4 separate regions of the Mus musculus genome follow, and regions 1, 2 and 4 are each reported to be linked to region 3. Evidence: microRNA targets listed by miRTarBase, many of them from high-throughput screens and not tested one by one. Region 3 holds a microRNA gene; each other region holds the end of a gene's coding sequence.

Region 1 (4,069 bases), not on the chromosome of region 3:
GCCTCTAGAGTGCTGGAGTTGCAGGCGCACTGCAATACCTGGCTGGGATGCTTTTTACCTTGCTTTCTGCTGTGTGAGAAAAGTCTTCTCTAATACAGAATGCACTTTAGAATCATCTGGGAAAGCCTCGTGAAACACTGCTACCCTAGACCACTCCAGAAGATTCTGATTTTTGTCTTTGTAAATAACACCCAGGCACAGGAGGTTGTTTTTATTTTTGGAAGCTGCCCAGTGATTCCAATGGTCAGCCAGTGTTGAACTGTCCAAACAAATCCTGCTGTGTCCCCATCTGGCCACGCCTTCACTCTTATCTGGTAGGGCTTCTGCTTCGCCTTCCGAATCGCCATCACCACATACTGGGTGAAGCAGTATTTTGTAACATCAGAGAACTATCAGCTTCAAGCAATGGCAGGCTTCCCTGTAGACTCAGCTCAACCAGGAGTATCTGCAAAGCCCGAGGGCCTTCACCTCTGCAACCTGTCTCACTCACACCCCCTCATGCTTCAGCTCCAAGACCCCTTAAGGCCCAGCTGTCACCAAAGCCCAGGAAAGATGTGGCCTGCCTCTGCTGCCTATACTAACCAAGTGATTTCAGAACGAGGGGAAACTAGATGCCACAATACCAGATTCTAAGCCAAAGACTCCATAGAGCTAAGAAGCCAGGGAGCTGGAAGATTCCTCAATGGTTAAGAGAACTTAGCTGCTTTTACAGAGAACCTGTTTGATTCCCAGCACCCATATAGTGGCTCACAGCTCTAAGTCCAATCCCAGGGGGGCTGACACCCTCTCTGGGCTCCCTGGGCACTGCACAAACCTGGTACACAGACATATATGCATACATACACATAAAATGAAAAAAAAAAACCACATTTTTTTAAAAGCCAGGTTTAGCATGATGGGACATGCTTGCAATGCCAGTATTCGGGAGCCTGAGGAGCCCCATGAGGTGCAGGCTAGTTTGGGCTACACGGTGAGATTCAGGCTACGATAACCAGAGTTTGTTTCAGACAGGGGAAGAGAGGGGGAGGGAGGGAGATGGAGGAGAGCCCAGCTTCCATGTAACCCAGTCTCACAAAAACAAAAGACAAGAACCAATGAGATGGCTCAGTGCGGGAAGGTAATGGCTGCCTAGCCTGAGGACCTGGCTTTGATCCCTGGGACCCACGTGGTGGAAGGAGAACCAGCTCTGGCAAGTTATTCCGTGACCTCCAGGTGCACCATGGCACGTGTGCCTGTATACACATAAACACAAAGAAACCATTACACTTACTACAAAACCAAGGCTTCCAGGCCCACACATGTATCCATGGGAGTTTAGGTTGAATTTGTTTTTGGGTTCTATACTGTAAGCTTACCAATGGCTGAAACTCCTCCTTAGGCTATGGTCACAGACTCAAGAGTCTGGCCAGACAAATAGCTGTGCCCCTACCACTGCAAATTCCTTGGTGTGCAGCAGCAGCCAGGCAGAGGCCTACATGTGCTCTGGGCAAGGATTCTCTCCACCAGCCTAGGACTGACTAAACTGGATATGCTCCTTCTGGCCCTTGTGGAAGGACACAAAGACTGACGCCAGGGCCCTATTAACCAAGCCAACCAAATCATTATCCTTCGTGCCAGTCATAGCTAGCAATCAACAAGCAGGTCTGAAGGGCTTGTGGCGTTTACTAAGCCCACAAGGAAGCTCTGGTCCAGGAGCATCTCCTCCTCCTAGAGGCTCAAGTGTTTGTCCCTCACCTAGGTAACTGCAGTAGAGGCCGACAACAGGTCTGTGACTGGGCCAGTTGGTCAGCTAAACCTAAACCCATCTGGGGCTGAGTTTTTGTTGCTGTGTGACAAATCAGTCAGCCACACCCCCACTTATTATCTTGGCTTTTCTGTCAATTGCTCTGGCCTGAGAAAACCTTTTTTGGTTTTGGTACTAGGAATCAAAAACAAGGCTTTGTGCATACCCAAGTGTTCCATCCATGGATCCCAGCCATTAATTCAGGCACAGGCTGTGTTCTCATTTGAAAGCGAGTCCTCTTTCAAGCTGGCACAGTGATGACAGAACCAAGCTCCTTGCTGTGGGGCTGTAACCACCACCACCCCACCACCACCCTTTTTTTCCCCCCAAAACAGGGTTTCTCTGTGTAGCCCTGGCTGTCCTGGAACTCACTCTGTAGACTAGGCTAGCCTTGAACTCAGAAATCCGGCTGCCTCTGGCTGCCAAGTGCTGGGGTTAAAGGCATACACCACCACTGCCTGGCTCCCACTTTCTTAGTAGGGCTAAGAGGTACACACCTCCTAAAACTTCACCACTAGCTTGTGCACAGGCAGCAAAACAAAGCCTTTGTTTTCTAATTCTTTTAAAGGATCAAGAGAATGGGCCAAGGATAATCTCCCGTCTAATTAACTTTAATCAGCAGGGACTGTGGGTCCATCTGTAAAACCCTTTCACTTAGCAAAGCCTCTTCCACTCAGAAGAGAAACACCAGAGGTTTTCAGGGTTTGCTGTAATTGGAGGGGAGGTAACACAAGGCAAGGGTCACTGGGGTCAACAGAAATTCTGCTTCTCAAAGGGCTTTTCACCACACCCATAGCAGCAGAAGCTAGCTAAGCAGATCAAGTAACAAGGACAGGTAACAGCAGGCATGATGGATAACAGGGATGTGGGCAGAGGCAGGAGGGAGACTGAAGAGGGCCTCCTGCTCTGATACTTCCTGCTGCTGGTCCAGCCTGCCCTAACCTGCATTCTCCACCTGGCTCCTACAGGAGGTGAAGACAGATCCTAGTCCTAGCTAGTGGGCAGTTCTGGCCCCACTCCTGTGTGACGATGACTTCTTCAAAAACAATTTTCATAGTCCAAGCTGAATGTGGATGGGTGACAGACAACCCTTCACTACCACACACAGACACAAAGACACACTCACAGTAAAAGGGAGACATAAAAACACAAAAGTTTAATACCATTTAACAGAAATGACAACAGGACACAGATACAACACTACAGTAAAACGGGGTGAGGTGAGAAAGGCAGAGGGACACAAGATGGATCACAACTGGGGGAGTGACTTCTTTGGTGCCCCTGAGGCCCTTTGACAGCTAACCCATGGCTCCAAGAACTACATCCTGAGGAAGTCCAGCAGGTGGCAGCATCACTGAGCGGAGCCTGGAGCTTACTCAGCATAAATACTCAAGGGTGGAGAGGGACAGCACTGTAACACCAGGAGCAGAGTTCCTTAGGCGCATCCACCCTCTTCCCCTAACACTAAGAGACAGGTCCCCTCAATCCTTGGTCTTTCAAGACACAGCAGCACCCCACCCCACTGCCCACAGCAGCTTCGCTCGCTCGCTCGGCTGCAAGCCTCTCCCTGTGAGTGTTTTCAGAGCGCCTGAATCCAGAGGTGGGAGGAGGCCGTGGGAGGAGCTGAGGACAGGAGTTGCTGGAGGAGGAGGTGTGTGGGCTTGAGGTCCCTCCTAGGCATCCTGGAGATTGCTATTGCTCAGGAGCACCTGCTCGCCAGGCTTGAAGGCTGGCATCCCGAGGTAGGGGCAGTTGGCACAGCGGAAAGCGTCACCCAGGTAGCACTGTGGAGAAACAACAGTCACACAGAGAGGCTAAGGGCCAAAGGGAAAGGGCACCTGCGTACACCCACGGGTCTCTTGTTCTATGAAACGTCAGTCAGTACGGGCGCCAGCCACGAGAGTTGGTAACACAGCTGTACTGACGTACTTGGGAGGCTGAGGCAGGTTTATGGCCTGCCTGAGTTATGTGGAAGCCCATGGGACGGAGGAGAGGTAGCTCAGGCAGCCTCTGCTACAGGAGATCACAGCAAGGTCAGCCAAAATAAAAACTGATAGCCACTGTCAGCCTGGCATGAGAATGCCGATTCCCTCTCGGGATAACCTCTTCTCATTACAGCTGCACTCGTGGCCCACTATGACAACACTCAGTGACAAATCCCTTAAGATCAGCTACTCTGTGTGCAGTTAGGGTCAGGGGTTGGTGGGTGTCAGGAGGTGCAGTACGTACATTTCCACAGGCTGACTTGGGCTGAGAGCTCTGCGCCTTGGACTGCTCCCGCTCCAG
Region 2 (4,069 bases), not on the chromosome of region 3:
ATGGGCTTCCCAGAGTTCTGGCAGGCATCCGCACCATGGGGAAGCTTCATCTACCAATGATTGTTTAGCTAGCAAGAATGGTAAGACTGAGGCACCAGTGAGTGAGCAAACCACTTTAGGCCAGGAGAATTACATATTCTCTAGAGGCCAAGCATCTGATGAAAAGAGCCTGCCTAGAGATTTTATTCCGGCAGCACATAAACAGATGACTCATGCTGTGAGAGGTAAGACAGTGTGTAGCAGCCCTGAGCTTTTCAATTCTACTGCTCTTTCTCTTCCCGCAGACAGTCCCACACATCAGCCTCTACTCCTTCCACCACTGCAAACCCCCAAATTGTATGGAAGCCCCACACAGATAGGGCCAAGCTATAGAGGCATGATCAATGTCTCCACCTCATCAGACATGGACCATAACTCTGCTATACCAGGCAGCCAGGTATCTAGCAATGTAGGGGACGTCATGTCGTTTTCAGTGACTGTCACTACCATCCCTGCCAGTCAAGCAATGAATCCCAGCAGCCATGGCCAGACAATTCCTGTTCAGACTTTTCCTGATGACAATAGTATCGAGGACACACCATCAAAATGTTACTGCCGGTTGAAAGCCATGATCATGTGCAAAGGATGTGGAGCTTTCTGCCATGATGATTGCATTGGCCCCTCCAAACTCTGTGTCTCCTGCCTTGTTGTTCGGTAATAAGACTGTAGCGTATGTAAAGGAGGGAAGGGAAGGCTTAAAAAGTCATGTTCTTGCACCCTTTTTAAATCACAGAAATAAAGTTTCAGTTGTCTCAAGAGACATTAATCAGGAATACAGAATGCAGGTCTTCACATTTACAGGAAGAGCACCTTGTATAGTAGGTCTGAGTCAAATAGGACTGAATTGGTGACAAAGTTTGCACTTACAAAATCATGTAAATATGTCACATTTTGTTTTAACATTTTTTTCAAAGTATTTAGGTAATGATGTATTAACTTCACATTCAGATTTATGTTCCATTTCTTTTGACTGAGAAAAGTTGAACGGTATGCATGGTGAAAGGAAGCTGTCTGCCTCTGACCTTTCCCCAGGCTATGAAAAGGAAAGTGAGGGAGCGATCATAGTGCTGATTATGTCTTCACAGACTGGCTCAGGTTCTTCACGAAGAAGATGGCCTTTGTGGGATTTAATTCGGGGTTTGCTCATCCCTTTACTTTAGGTGGAACTATTTTCAGTGAAATTTTCAAAAGGTATTAACAGCACAGACAGTGTTTTTGACCCTGACAGCCCTGGCTTAGCTTTTGGCTTCCATGAATCAGTACTGTTGTTAAAAGCAGAGCTCTGCTGTTAAGAGGTTCTGTTTCTAAGGGACTGCTGAGTTAGATTAGTATATACGTGGCAGTAGTTCAGCAATAATACATCACAACATTGCATCAATCATGGGCTCCCACCAATAAACACTTTACGGGTGGGTGTGTGTGTGTGTGCGCGCGCGCGCATGTGCGCATACTGTGTAATGTTGGAAAAGGGATGAAATTGAAGAAACTGAAACTTCACGGAATTTGGAAGAGTGGTTTTAACATGGGACAGAAAATAGTCTTTTCCTATTCTCTCAATCCATTTTTAGGTAGAAAGGGTCTTAAGTGATACTTATGCTTTGGCATCCAGAGCATAAGAGATGAATGCAGCTACCCTGTGCCATCCTACTATAATAAATTTTGCACCCACACACAAGTACACAGTTTGCTGTTTTAGAAAGTGATTCTACAATCTCGGCTGTCAGGACAGCTGGGATGCTTACTGTGAAAGGGTCTTGTGAGTGACTAATGGAATATATGGCTGTGAGATTTTGCTGTTTTTCTTTCCTTTTGATTTTTTTTTAATCCTCCCAGTACTCCAGAGACAGAGACAGACCAGTCTCTGAGTTCAAGGCCAGCCTGATCTTCATAATGAGCTCCAGACAACCAGGGCTATCTAAGAAGCCTTGTCTCAAAACAAAAATAATCACAAAAACCCTAAATAAATAAAAGAAGTAAAAAAAAACCACACACACACAAGGAGCTGGAGAGATGGCTCAGTGGTTACGAGCACTGACTGCTCTTCTAGAGATCCTGAGTTCAATTCCCAGCAACCGCATGGTGGCTCACAACCATCTGTAATGGGATCTGATGCCCTCTTCTAGTGTGTCTGAAGACAGTGACAGTGTACTCATATACATAAAGAAATCTTTTTTTAAAAAAGAGAGAAAAGAAAAACTAGTTGGTGGACATGGTGGGTGACACGCCTTTAATCTCAGCACTTGGGAGGAAGAGGCAGGTGAATCTCTGGGTTAGGACCAGTATGGTTTGCATAGCAAGTTCCAGAGTACACAGTGAAACACTTGTCTTTTTTAAAAAACAAAAGCTAGCTACGAATTTTTAAAGAAATACTGTTTAAGTTAGAGATGGTTTAAAGAAAAATAGTTCACCAAAATTTAGTATTATATAGTCTGTATTGTTTGGTTTCAAGTCTCCTAATTTGAAGTATGTGGTGTAATATTGCAACCCAGTATAGGTGTATTTCAAAAGCTATTTATAAAACTCAGAACAATTTAACTTGCTAATTATATCACCTTCCAGATTGGAGAAAGGAGACAGTAAGGTATTTTGCCTGCCTTGTGATGCCCTCCCCTGACCACCCTACCTTTTTGCATCAAACACTGGGAATGCTTCCTCAGTCCCTGCTCCAAACTATGAAGCTCACCCTTCATTTTTCCTCCCTGCTATTGTGGACCTAAGCAATTACAGTTTAAATTCTGTATACAGCACTAGTCAAGACAATGTGATATCCTTCCACCTTCCCCCTTTATTTCAAGAAATGCATAGATAAGGGAGAAGAAAGGCTTCAAGGATTCATGGTTAAGAAGTGTGTATGTTCTGAAGTGAAGGACCAGTAAGAAATACAAGCCAGGCCGGGCGGTGGTGGCGCACACCTTTGATCCCAGCACTTGGGAGGCAGAGGCAGGCGGATTTTTGAGTTTGAGACCAGCCTGATCCATAGAGTGAGTTCCAGGACAGCCAGGTTTATACAGAGAAACCCTGTCTTGAAAGAGCCAAAAAAAAAAAAAAAAAATACAAGCCAGGATTCTGCTCCCAAACCTTCAGGACAATGGGTAGTCCCCATGGGACCTTAAAAGACCCATAGCTGAGTAGTCTCCCTTGTCTACCCTGCTTTAAGAGGGTGAATGACGGAATAGACTTTATGGTGTCAGTGAGTAGTTTGTATTAGAATAATTTTCCTATTTCCTACCTTGCTTTCTAGAAAGGCTTTTGCTCCATACTTCCCTTAATCTCAGAATGGATGGAAAAGAGGAAGACATTAGGGACTGTCAGGTCCATTTAAAGAGGAAATTACATTGTTACTCTTCTTGATCTCCTCAGGCTATGTAAGTCTGAAGTACTGTTCTTCTCCACTAAGTAATACCCAACTAATTTCCATTTAAAAGTATTCCAAAAGCAGCATTTACCAACAATTTTTTTAGATTGAAAATATATTAAATAAGAATCCATCTAGTCTATTTGTGTTAAAACATGCTTTCAGATGGAAGACGAACATTCATCTTATAAATGAACAGAAAATAAACTAGTCTGGCCCTTTGAGTTTGTCACTCCAGTAACTATTAACACAGATTTTGTCATGGCCTATCATTTCTTTTACCTTTAACTCAACTCTGAACTGATTGAATAAGTGCTAAGCTTATTCTTTGGGCTTTGGGTGGCAATTTTCAGTGAGGTATTAAATATATCTGATACCTGATGGGGCTGTGCCCCATCCAGCCCTCAAAGTAGTCTCTGTAAATCGCTGGGATAGTATTCATATTGTGTCATCTCAGTGTTATTTTTAAGTGTTCTGAGTTGCCTAAGTAGAACACTCTCTGAATCATAAGGACTTTTTGTTTTGCTTTTTGAATAATCACCATTCTTTAGCTCAGTAATATGGGGGTGGGGGAGCAGCACAAATAACCTGGAGTTGTTTGGCCTTGGTTCCTTAAGTCCTGTGTTCAAGACACTGAAGCTATCTCCCATGTTCTGTGTGAGATTTCTGAGTAAG
Region 3 (4,069 bases):
AGCTGTGATGGCAGGAGTCTGAAGCGAATACTGGTCAGTGCTGATGTGGAATAAGAATAGGTATCAATGACTCGCTAGAGTTGAATTGAAAACTGTTGTCATGGGGAGGTTAAGTTTTAACATAGTTAATTTTCACGTGGGGTTAAAATAATATTGCAGTAGGTGTTTTACATTATTTGAGCAAATGTAAGATCTTTCCATTTGCACCCTGTCGCTAATCAGCGTGTACAGTAGAAGAAATTCGGAACCGTCCCTTTAATAAAACATTCTTTCCCTAGCCTCTTCCAGTGGGCGTGGCTTAGGAACCTGTCGAGTGAGGTGTGACTTCAGCTCTGCAGGCTGACCGGCCCCCTGGAAAGAGGGCTGGTGCTCAGAACCAGGAAGCAACAACTGAAGCTTCACACAGCACTGGCTTTTACGTGGCGAAGAGCCCCGTAAAGAGTAGGAAACTGAAGTACCGAGTTTGCTTAGCTGTTATCAAAGTTTTGAAGCTCTAACTGTGGATAAAGACTCCATAGAGTACTTAGAATACCAAGCTTTCTGGGCCAGAAATTGATCTGCTGACTTTTGACTCCTATCTGATTACTGCTTGGTTCATCTTTATTTTGCTCAAGTTATCTATCTGCAGGCTGAACCCAGAGCCGCTCCGCTCCTTTGCAGGTAGGTGGTCGACTTTCAAATAATATTTAGGTCGGTTTTTGTTTTTTTTTAAGGCTCAGCTGCTAAATACTGAAAAAGTTGCGACTATCAGACTGGCATGTTTGAATAGCGTGATTGTAAATAGTCACGTTTTTGAGACAGCTGGACAACCTTGCAGAAATAGTCATTTTTAACAAATTAGCACCATGAATTAAATGAGTTTTGTTTTGTTTCCCATTAACCAATTATGTATTTACATTTAACTAATGGATGAAAATGTATGTTGAAATTATCTTGCTAATTAACTTAAATAGCATTTTGTTCTCAGGTTTTGCTCGCCAGTTGCATGTCTTTTACCGTTAGGAAGCTGAGTGTTCACCACCAAGTCATTTGTTTGCTTTAGTTTTTATCTTCGGAAACGTCTATTATTTCAAAAAAAGTTTTTGTGAACGGTTAATAATCTAACACAGTTGTGCTGAAAAATCGCCTTCTTCTGGTAAAGCTATCTAACCATCCTTTTGCGATATGAAAACGGTTCCAATGATGATGTCTCTGGAAGACTTAGTTAATTCACAGTATGAATTATTGTTATGAAAACAGAATCCACACAGAATCTCTGGGGTAGAAGGCGAGTCCCTTTAGGACCAAGGACAGGAGCATCCTTAACTGTCACTAATGGGCCTTTATATTTTTCTTCTCTGGATATTCTACTTGAGAAGACTTCATCCGCTAAAAGGACAGTTGTAGGAAATAGAGAGCATCGCAGAGTTTGTTTTCTAGATGTGTGATTTTTCAGTTAGAGTTCTCCAACCTGGGATTTCTACTCCGCGTTCACATAATCAGCTGGAAGCAAAGAGGCATGTTTTTCTTAGCTTGCCTCCTTTATTGCAGGTTTTTGAATATTTTTGACATTTTTGAAGTGTAGATAATGACATCTGAATTGTCATCAGCTGGTTTTGTGGTCATCTTGGCAAACTGGGATATAGCTGCCGCAAGTCCAGACCATTTTCCTTTTAAGCTCCCTGGTTCCATGAAGTGTAAGGAGAGTCATCTAGTAAAAACCAGGACACAGAGCTGCTCCTGGGAGGAGGGAAAGGCGGTGGTGGTTGTTGTAGGGGCTGAACACCGGGGCTGAATTCAGGGCCTTTATACATTTGGCCCCATTATATATTTTTACATTCAACCTCTTAACTTTGAAACATTTCTCTGATTGGGCTAGGAGATGACTTACTTGCTAGCTTCATAACTAATGTTACTTCTGTCCATCTCTGCCCTCCCTATGGGTTGGTCGTCTTCTCTCCATCTCTTCTAGTTTTTCTTCACGAATCCGTCTGTCCTCTAGCTTACCCAGAAGCCTATCTCCTCGGTGGAGCCTCATCTGGCCACCTTGGTCCTCAATAATATTAACTCCTTTTGCACTTCCCTATCCCATAGACTCTTCCAGCCCATTAGCACATGATCATGTGCATCTGATTTAAGAGTGCCCTGTATCCTTCAGACATGAGTACTAAATTCGGAGATTGTTTTTATACCCTTTGGATCTAGAGCGGTGCCACAGGTTTCATTCCCAATAAAGACCTGTGGAATGGATGGAAGATCGTATTGACAGTTGCTTCAAGTACCATGCTGTCTCTCTCTCTTGTCTTGCTTAATCATGTAATTAATTGCAATGTTCCCGGAGACCAGTCTGTTACTATGATATGATGTTATTTTCCCAAATAGTTTACAGCTTGCTTTATTTGGTGATTAAGGTTTTTTTTTTTTTAAGTGGGTCGGTGTGTGTGTGTGATGCCCATGGAATCCCGAAGGGTGTGTCAGTTGGAGTTACAGATTTACAGATGTTTGTGACTTGCCTCATGTGGGAGCTAGGATGTGGCCACTGGTCCTTTGGTGGAGCAGCAAGCACTCTTAACCACGGGTACATTTCTCGGCTGTACTTGGTAACTTTACCACTGACATGCTGTCTATAAAGGAAGCAAGCTAGAATTTACTAAAAGTAAATTAGTATTCTGAAGGTTGTTTTCTTGCATTTTATATTTTAGGAAAATGTAATTTGGAGCTCATTGGTGTGCAAAGTTCTAAAAATGCTTAAAATATTCAGATACAATCGTGAATTAGAAGTTTTGGTTCTCGGGCATTGGTAGCGCATGCCTTTAGTCCCAGCACTCGGGAGGCAGAGGCAGGTGAATTTTTGAGTTCAAGGCCAGCCTGGTCTACAGAGTGAGTGCCAGGACAGCCAAGGCTACACAGAGAATCCCTGTCTCGGAAAAAAAAAAAAATTTGGTTCTGAGTTAACATTTAGGACAACTCTGAATTGTGATCATAGGTTGTATGGATTTCAGATCAGTAATTAGCAGAAATGATAAGTAACTTACTTTTATAGAAAAAAAATCACTTTAAGCATCTTTACTGAAGTGTACTTCTGCACAGTAGCCTCTTTAATACACACTTTGAAAACCCACCATTTTCTAAGTGGAATGTGCCTTTTAGTTTCAACTTCTTTGGAGAATAGCTCAAGCCCAAGATCGGCCTTGAGAATGTGGTTAAACCCTGTGAGAAACGATTATCTGTTTATCGATTTAACTCTTGGTTTAATTATTTATTCTTACATTTTTGCCTACATATAGGTCTGTGCACCACTCGTGCGCCTGAGATGGCCAGAAGATCCCCTGGAACTGGAGTCATAGGTGGTTGTGAGCCACCATGCAGGTGCTGGGAATCAAACCCAGGTCCTCTAGAAGAGCAGCCAGTGCTCTTATCCATGGGACTTCCTCTTGAATGTCTCTTATCAAATGGGCATATTTAACCTTTCCTTTTCAGCGATGGGGATGGAGCTCTGCAGAGCCTTGTGGATGATATGCAGTTCTCAACCACTAAGCTATTATGCCCAGCTCCCATTAACCCTTTTTTTTAAAAATAGAAAATAGGGAGACAAATAGGCCAGGATCTATCCGAGCCACACCTTGACTGCTCACACCACGGCTCCTCTGACTTTGGCCTTTGTGCTTTGAATTACAGTTACGTTATCTGTTGCATTTTCCAATAGTCACGCAATGTTTCTGTCATCTTAGAGCCTGACCAGACAGGAGTTCTGGCAACTGCTCCAGCAGAACTATGGCACGGAGCTAGGCTTAAACGCTGAAGAAATGGAACACTTGTTATCAGTTGAAGAAAATGTGCAGCCAAGGTACAGTGAAGCAACGTAGAGTGTCAAGGTGCATTATGGCCCATCACAGTGGGATCATTGTAGGTCGTTTCAGTTCTGAATTTCTTTGAACTCATCGTTTGGTGCGGTTTGCCCTCTTGTTGGTAGAGTGCAAGTTGGGAGAGAAGAGACTCATTTGCTAAGTTGGTAAGCACGTGTGGGACGTGAAGAAATGTTAGAGATGAGGCTATGACTCTTAGAATTTACTACTAGAAAGCCTTTTTA
Region 4 (4,069 bases), not on the chromosome of region 3:
TCTCTGGGCACTACTGAAGTCACACTGTTGTCATGTATATTTATCCTCAATTTCTCCAAATCCTGAATGGCCAAAAAAATTACGAAGGGCAAAAGTCACTGTCTTTCTTCCCACATTGTTACCCCAGTGATTTCTGTCTTCCAGAATCCCCTATTTTGAAACCAGTGCTGCCAACGGGACAAACATAAGCCACGCGATTGAGATGCTCCTGGACCTGATCATGAAGCGGATGGAGCGGTGTGTGGACAAGTCCTGGATTCCGGAGGGAGTGGTACGGTCCAACGGCCATACCTCTGCGGATCAGCTAAGTGAGGAGAAGGAGAAGGGGTTGTGTGGCTGTTGAGACGCCAAGCGAGCCCCGTGGCAGCAGCGCATGACCCCTGGTTGCCGCCAGCTCCGCTGTAGAGACCAAGCCGGCAGCTCGATGAGATGAGCAAACAGCCCCTCCTATGCCAGGTGCCTCTCCTCGCCTCCAGGAGGGTCACCTCGGGCATCCATCTGTAACGCGCTGCAGCTTTGTATGATTTAGTCCATGAATCGGAAGAAATACTTCACAGAGCCAAAAGTGTCTTATAAAAGCCCACGGTGGCGGGTCATTTAGGGATCCAAGATTTCAGCCATGAAAGATTTCATCTGTTATGTAGAACGCTGATGGTCCTGTCGCCTGCCTTAACACAGTCGCCTGCCTCAACACAGGACAGCCCTAGAGTCTCATTGAAGACATTAAGATCTTTGAGCAAGGAAAAGCTAGCACGGTCTTGAGAATCCAGATTTCAAAATCCATACTGTAGACTATCACTCTCAAACACGTGAATGTCAATAAGTGTGTACACACAGATCAATGTCTTTCAGCATTGCTTTTTAACATAGCCTTTCCTTTGACATGAGCATAAACAGATGGCGGCCATACCTATAGACTCTGAATAGATCGGATTGACTCACTGTGAGTTTGGGGGTGGGGGGAAGGGTTTATGGAGCAGGGGTGGGTGAAGTAGGGATCAGTCAGATTGTCTGCTGTTAGCCGAGGGGTCATGAAGACTCTTGTGTCTATCCATGGTCTGTTGGGTTCAGTGCACCTCTGAACATCGCTCATGCTTCTACAGTATGTATGTTTGCATGTATGTATGTATGGTCTCTTCATATGTACGTATGTTTGGTCTGGCACCTCAGGATCTGCTTTCACTTGTCTGGAGACTGCCAATCTGACTTTTCCCATCAAGTTTTGGTGGTGGTGGTGTTTCCCAGTTTGTTTTCTCCCCCCCCCCCTTCCCCCATTAATGTAACTGAAGGAATCTCTTTTTAATTAAACGGCGTGTTTATTTGCTATCTGGAGGGAGGGAGTTCACTGTCTGTATTTAAGCAGTCACATTTGTGGGCCAGTTTAAGAGAAGTGTTTTGTAGCCTGTAGCTTTCACTGGGAATGTGGGGCACTGATGTTTTTTGATAGTGGAAAACATACTTTGCATGGTAGTTTCAAGTGGCTTTTTTTTTTTTTTTTTGAGACAGGGTCTTTTCATATAGTTTCTAGCTGGCCCAAAACTCCCTTTGTAGACTAGGCTGGCCTCAAACTCACAGAGATCCACCTGTCTCAGCACCCTAAGCACTGGGGATTAAAGGTGTAGTTGTCACACCTGGCTCTCAGAAGACTTTTAAAAAATTGCACATCTATCATTTATTGCCATTGTCCTTTGACCCCTCCTCAGAAAAAAATAGCCATGGCCACTAAGCTTTTACTGTTTTTGAAATAAGGGACTCTTTGAAACACCAAACTCATCATTGAGGCCTATACATCTGAATCCTATATACCCAGGACATGAGGCCCATCATAGCCGTGCCTTCCAGCGTTGTTCTAAGACTTCAGTGGAGCATACTGCTTGTTTGGCACATTTCTTAATGTCTCTCTTGTAAATACATCAAGTCAATATGCCAGACAGGTATTGGTGGTTCGTTCTTTTCATCTCCCATACTTGAGAAGCAGAGGCAGGCGATGAGTTTGAAGCTAGGCTTCACTATAGAGTGAGTTTCAGGACAGCCAAAGATACATAGTGAAGTCCTGTTTCAAAAAACAAACACACACTAGGCAGTGGAGGCCCATGCCTTTCATCCCAGCACTCAGGAGGCAGAGGCAGGTGGATTTCTGAGTTCGAGGCCAGCCTGGTCTACAGAGTGAGTTCCAGGACAGCCAAGACTACACATAAAAAAGTGAATGTTTGCACAGTGGCATAGTGCGGGTTTTGAGAAGTGAGATGCCGCTCCTGTTGGCTCCACACCAGGCACGGGGCTTAATGTGTGTGATAGTTGCCCAACACAAGAGCTGCCTTGAATTGTTGAAACAAAACAAAACTGAGTTCTCTGAAAATGGTTTAAATTTGATAAAAAAAAAAAAATAACCGTACTTTTTGTCACTGTATTTTTCTATTTACAAATCTGTATAAAAAATGCTCTTTAGTGAACTTTGTGCCAATTAAACCATAATAATAATAAAAAAAAATAATAAAAGAGGTCCAGTATATCAAGTTCTGGTGAATATTTCAAACTAGGAATTGTGATGCCAAAGGAACCCGAATTCAGGAATGCAGAGTCCACGAGATGCTTGCTGAGGACCCTGGCCAAAACAGCATCCAGGGAAGATAGCTCGAGATAGATTTTTTTTTTTTGGTCAATTTTATTTCATGTATATGAATGTTTGCCTGTGTGTCTGTGTCCTTTGTGTGCATGTCCTTGGAGACCAGAAAAGGCCATTGGATTTTTTGGGACTAGAATCACAGACAGTTGTCAGCTGCCATGTAGTTGCTGGGAATTGGACATAGGTCCTCTAGAAGAGCAGCCAGTGCTTTTAACATCTCTTCACCCCCAATTCAAAATGTTTTATCCAATATTTATTGAGTACCTTTGAGAGTTGGTGAACTAGGTAGTCTGATGGAGCAAAACAAAAATGGTTAGGTCCTGCACTCAAAGCAGAGCTGGGAGTGGTGCCAGGGCACTGGAGAAGGCTTGGCTACTGACGGAAAGAGACTCAGCCTCCTCTCAGATGCACATCCCTGAGTTGGCTCTGATCTAGCACTCATGGGTCTGTCTGTGATGCTAGCTTTCCAGAGGTCTACTTGGTGCTCTCGCCAAGACTGTTCAAATACCACCTTGTCCAATCATGTCCTATAAAAGAGCAGCCACTTTCATGGTCCACTAGGATGCCCCATGCTGAAAACCTGGTGCCTGGTTTGCTAACCCTATTGAAGAGGATTTGTCAAAGTCTGCAAGCCATAGCTAAAAAGTGGAGGTTCCAACAGGGGAGGGGTCTTTAAGTGTTCATGCTCACCACCCATCTGTCGGTGCTTAATCTGCAACAGCCCTGGTGCTCTGCACATCTGCAGATGGGAACTCATCAAAGACAAAGAAAAAAAAAAAAAAACAACCAAAGAAAGAAAGGACTTGACTGCTCCTCCGTAAGGTGGAGGAGGAAGTTCATTATAGATATGTGCGTAAGCATAGCCAGAGGCAGACACATCTGGGAGAGTCCATAAAGAGCTTGACCCTGAACCATGGGAGAGGGGAAGGAAGAGAGGGGAGCCATCGTCCAGGAGGCCCTTGGTACAAAACGGTGTGCAGATATCCAAATTGTTTGGATTATATAGGGAAGAGCCTCTGGGAGAAGGGCATGAACAGAAAACAAAACCTTAACTTTGTTAATGAAGATAGCCTGCCTCCAGGTCTTCTCTGGGACTAGAGTTACCTTATCAGGTGTCTTCAAGAAGCACCCAGGGATAGGATAGAAATTTCACCCAAATCCTGTAGACTATTGTAAAAAAACAAACAAACAAACCAAAAAATCCATTGCCCTATTGTAAATATGGTGGCATCCCTGGGAGACAGAAGCTAGCAGACAGAGCTCTATGAGTTCCAGGCCAGCCAGGGCTACTGGGTGAGACCCTGTCTCAAAACAACATACAAGATACAATGAGCAGTGTCCATCCTTTTTGATTGATTGCTGCACCCATTCTGCCAGGTATGACTTTTTCTTCATGGTGCTTTATCTCCTAACCCTCGTGTATAAGCCTACATTAAAATGCCT

Evidence for each region. Region 3 holds the annotated microRNA mmu-miR-3470b (UCACUCUGUAGACCAGGCUGG, at 2,843-2,863, opposite strand). A microRNA usually pairs through its seed, bases 2 to 8, with sites in the 3' UTR of a target mRNA and lowers its output. Matches are read on the target gene's strand: a 7mer-m8 pairs with bases 2 to 8, a 7mer-A1 pairs with bases 2 to 7 and ends in A, and an 8mer does both.
Region 1: miRTarBase lists Ciapin1 as a target of mmu-miR-3470b. Seed matches in the 3' UTR shown: 8mer at 2,152-2,159 and 7mer-A1 at 302-308.
Region 2: the mRNA of Asxl2 is a reported target of mmu-miR-3470b. Seed matches in the 3' UTR shown: 7mer-A1 at 3,018-3,024.
Region 4: miRTarBase lists Rab27a as a target of mmu-miR-3470b. Seed matches in the 3' UTR shown: 7mer-A1 at 2,014-2,020 and 8mer at 2,163-2,170.

The regions. Positions count from the first base shown.
Region 1 is chr8:94,819,641-94,823,709 of GRCm38, forward strand. It overlaps Ciapin1 (cytokine induced apoptosis inhibitor 1), which reads right to left. Exons shown (of 9, transcript NM_134141.4): 8 at 4,013-4,069; 9 at 178-3,567. The coding sequence ends at 3,457. Among named protein-coding and RNA genes, the nearest start is that of Ccl17, 11 kb to the left of the region's middle.
Region 2 is chr12:3,501,676-3,505,744 of GRCm38, forward strand. It overlaps Asxl2 (additional sex combs like 2, transcriptional regulator), which reads left to right. Exons shown (of 13, transcript NM_001270988.1): 13 at 1-4,069. The coding sequence ends at 697. Among named protein-coding and RNA genes, the nearest start is that of Dtnb, 69 kb to the right of the region's middle.
Region 3 is chr16:44,012,679-44,016,747 of GRCm38, reverse strand. It overlaps Mir3470b (microRNA 3470b), which reads right to left and starts at 2,896; the gene lies at 2,771-2,896. It overlaps Gramd1c (GRAM domain containing 1C), which reads left to right. Exons shown (of 17, transcript NM_001359085.1): 6 at 3,711-3,826.
Region 4 is chr9:73,095,114-73,099,182 of GRCm38, forward strand. It overlaps Rab27a (RAB27A, member RAS oncogene family), which reads left to right. Exons shown (of 6, transcript NM_023635.6): 6 at 145-2,501. The coding sequence ends at 343. Among named protein-coding and RNA genes, the nearest start is that of Khdc3, 5.2 kb to the right of the region's middle.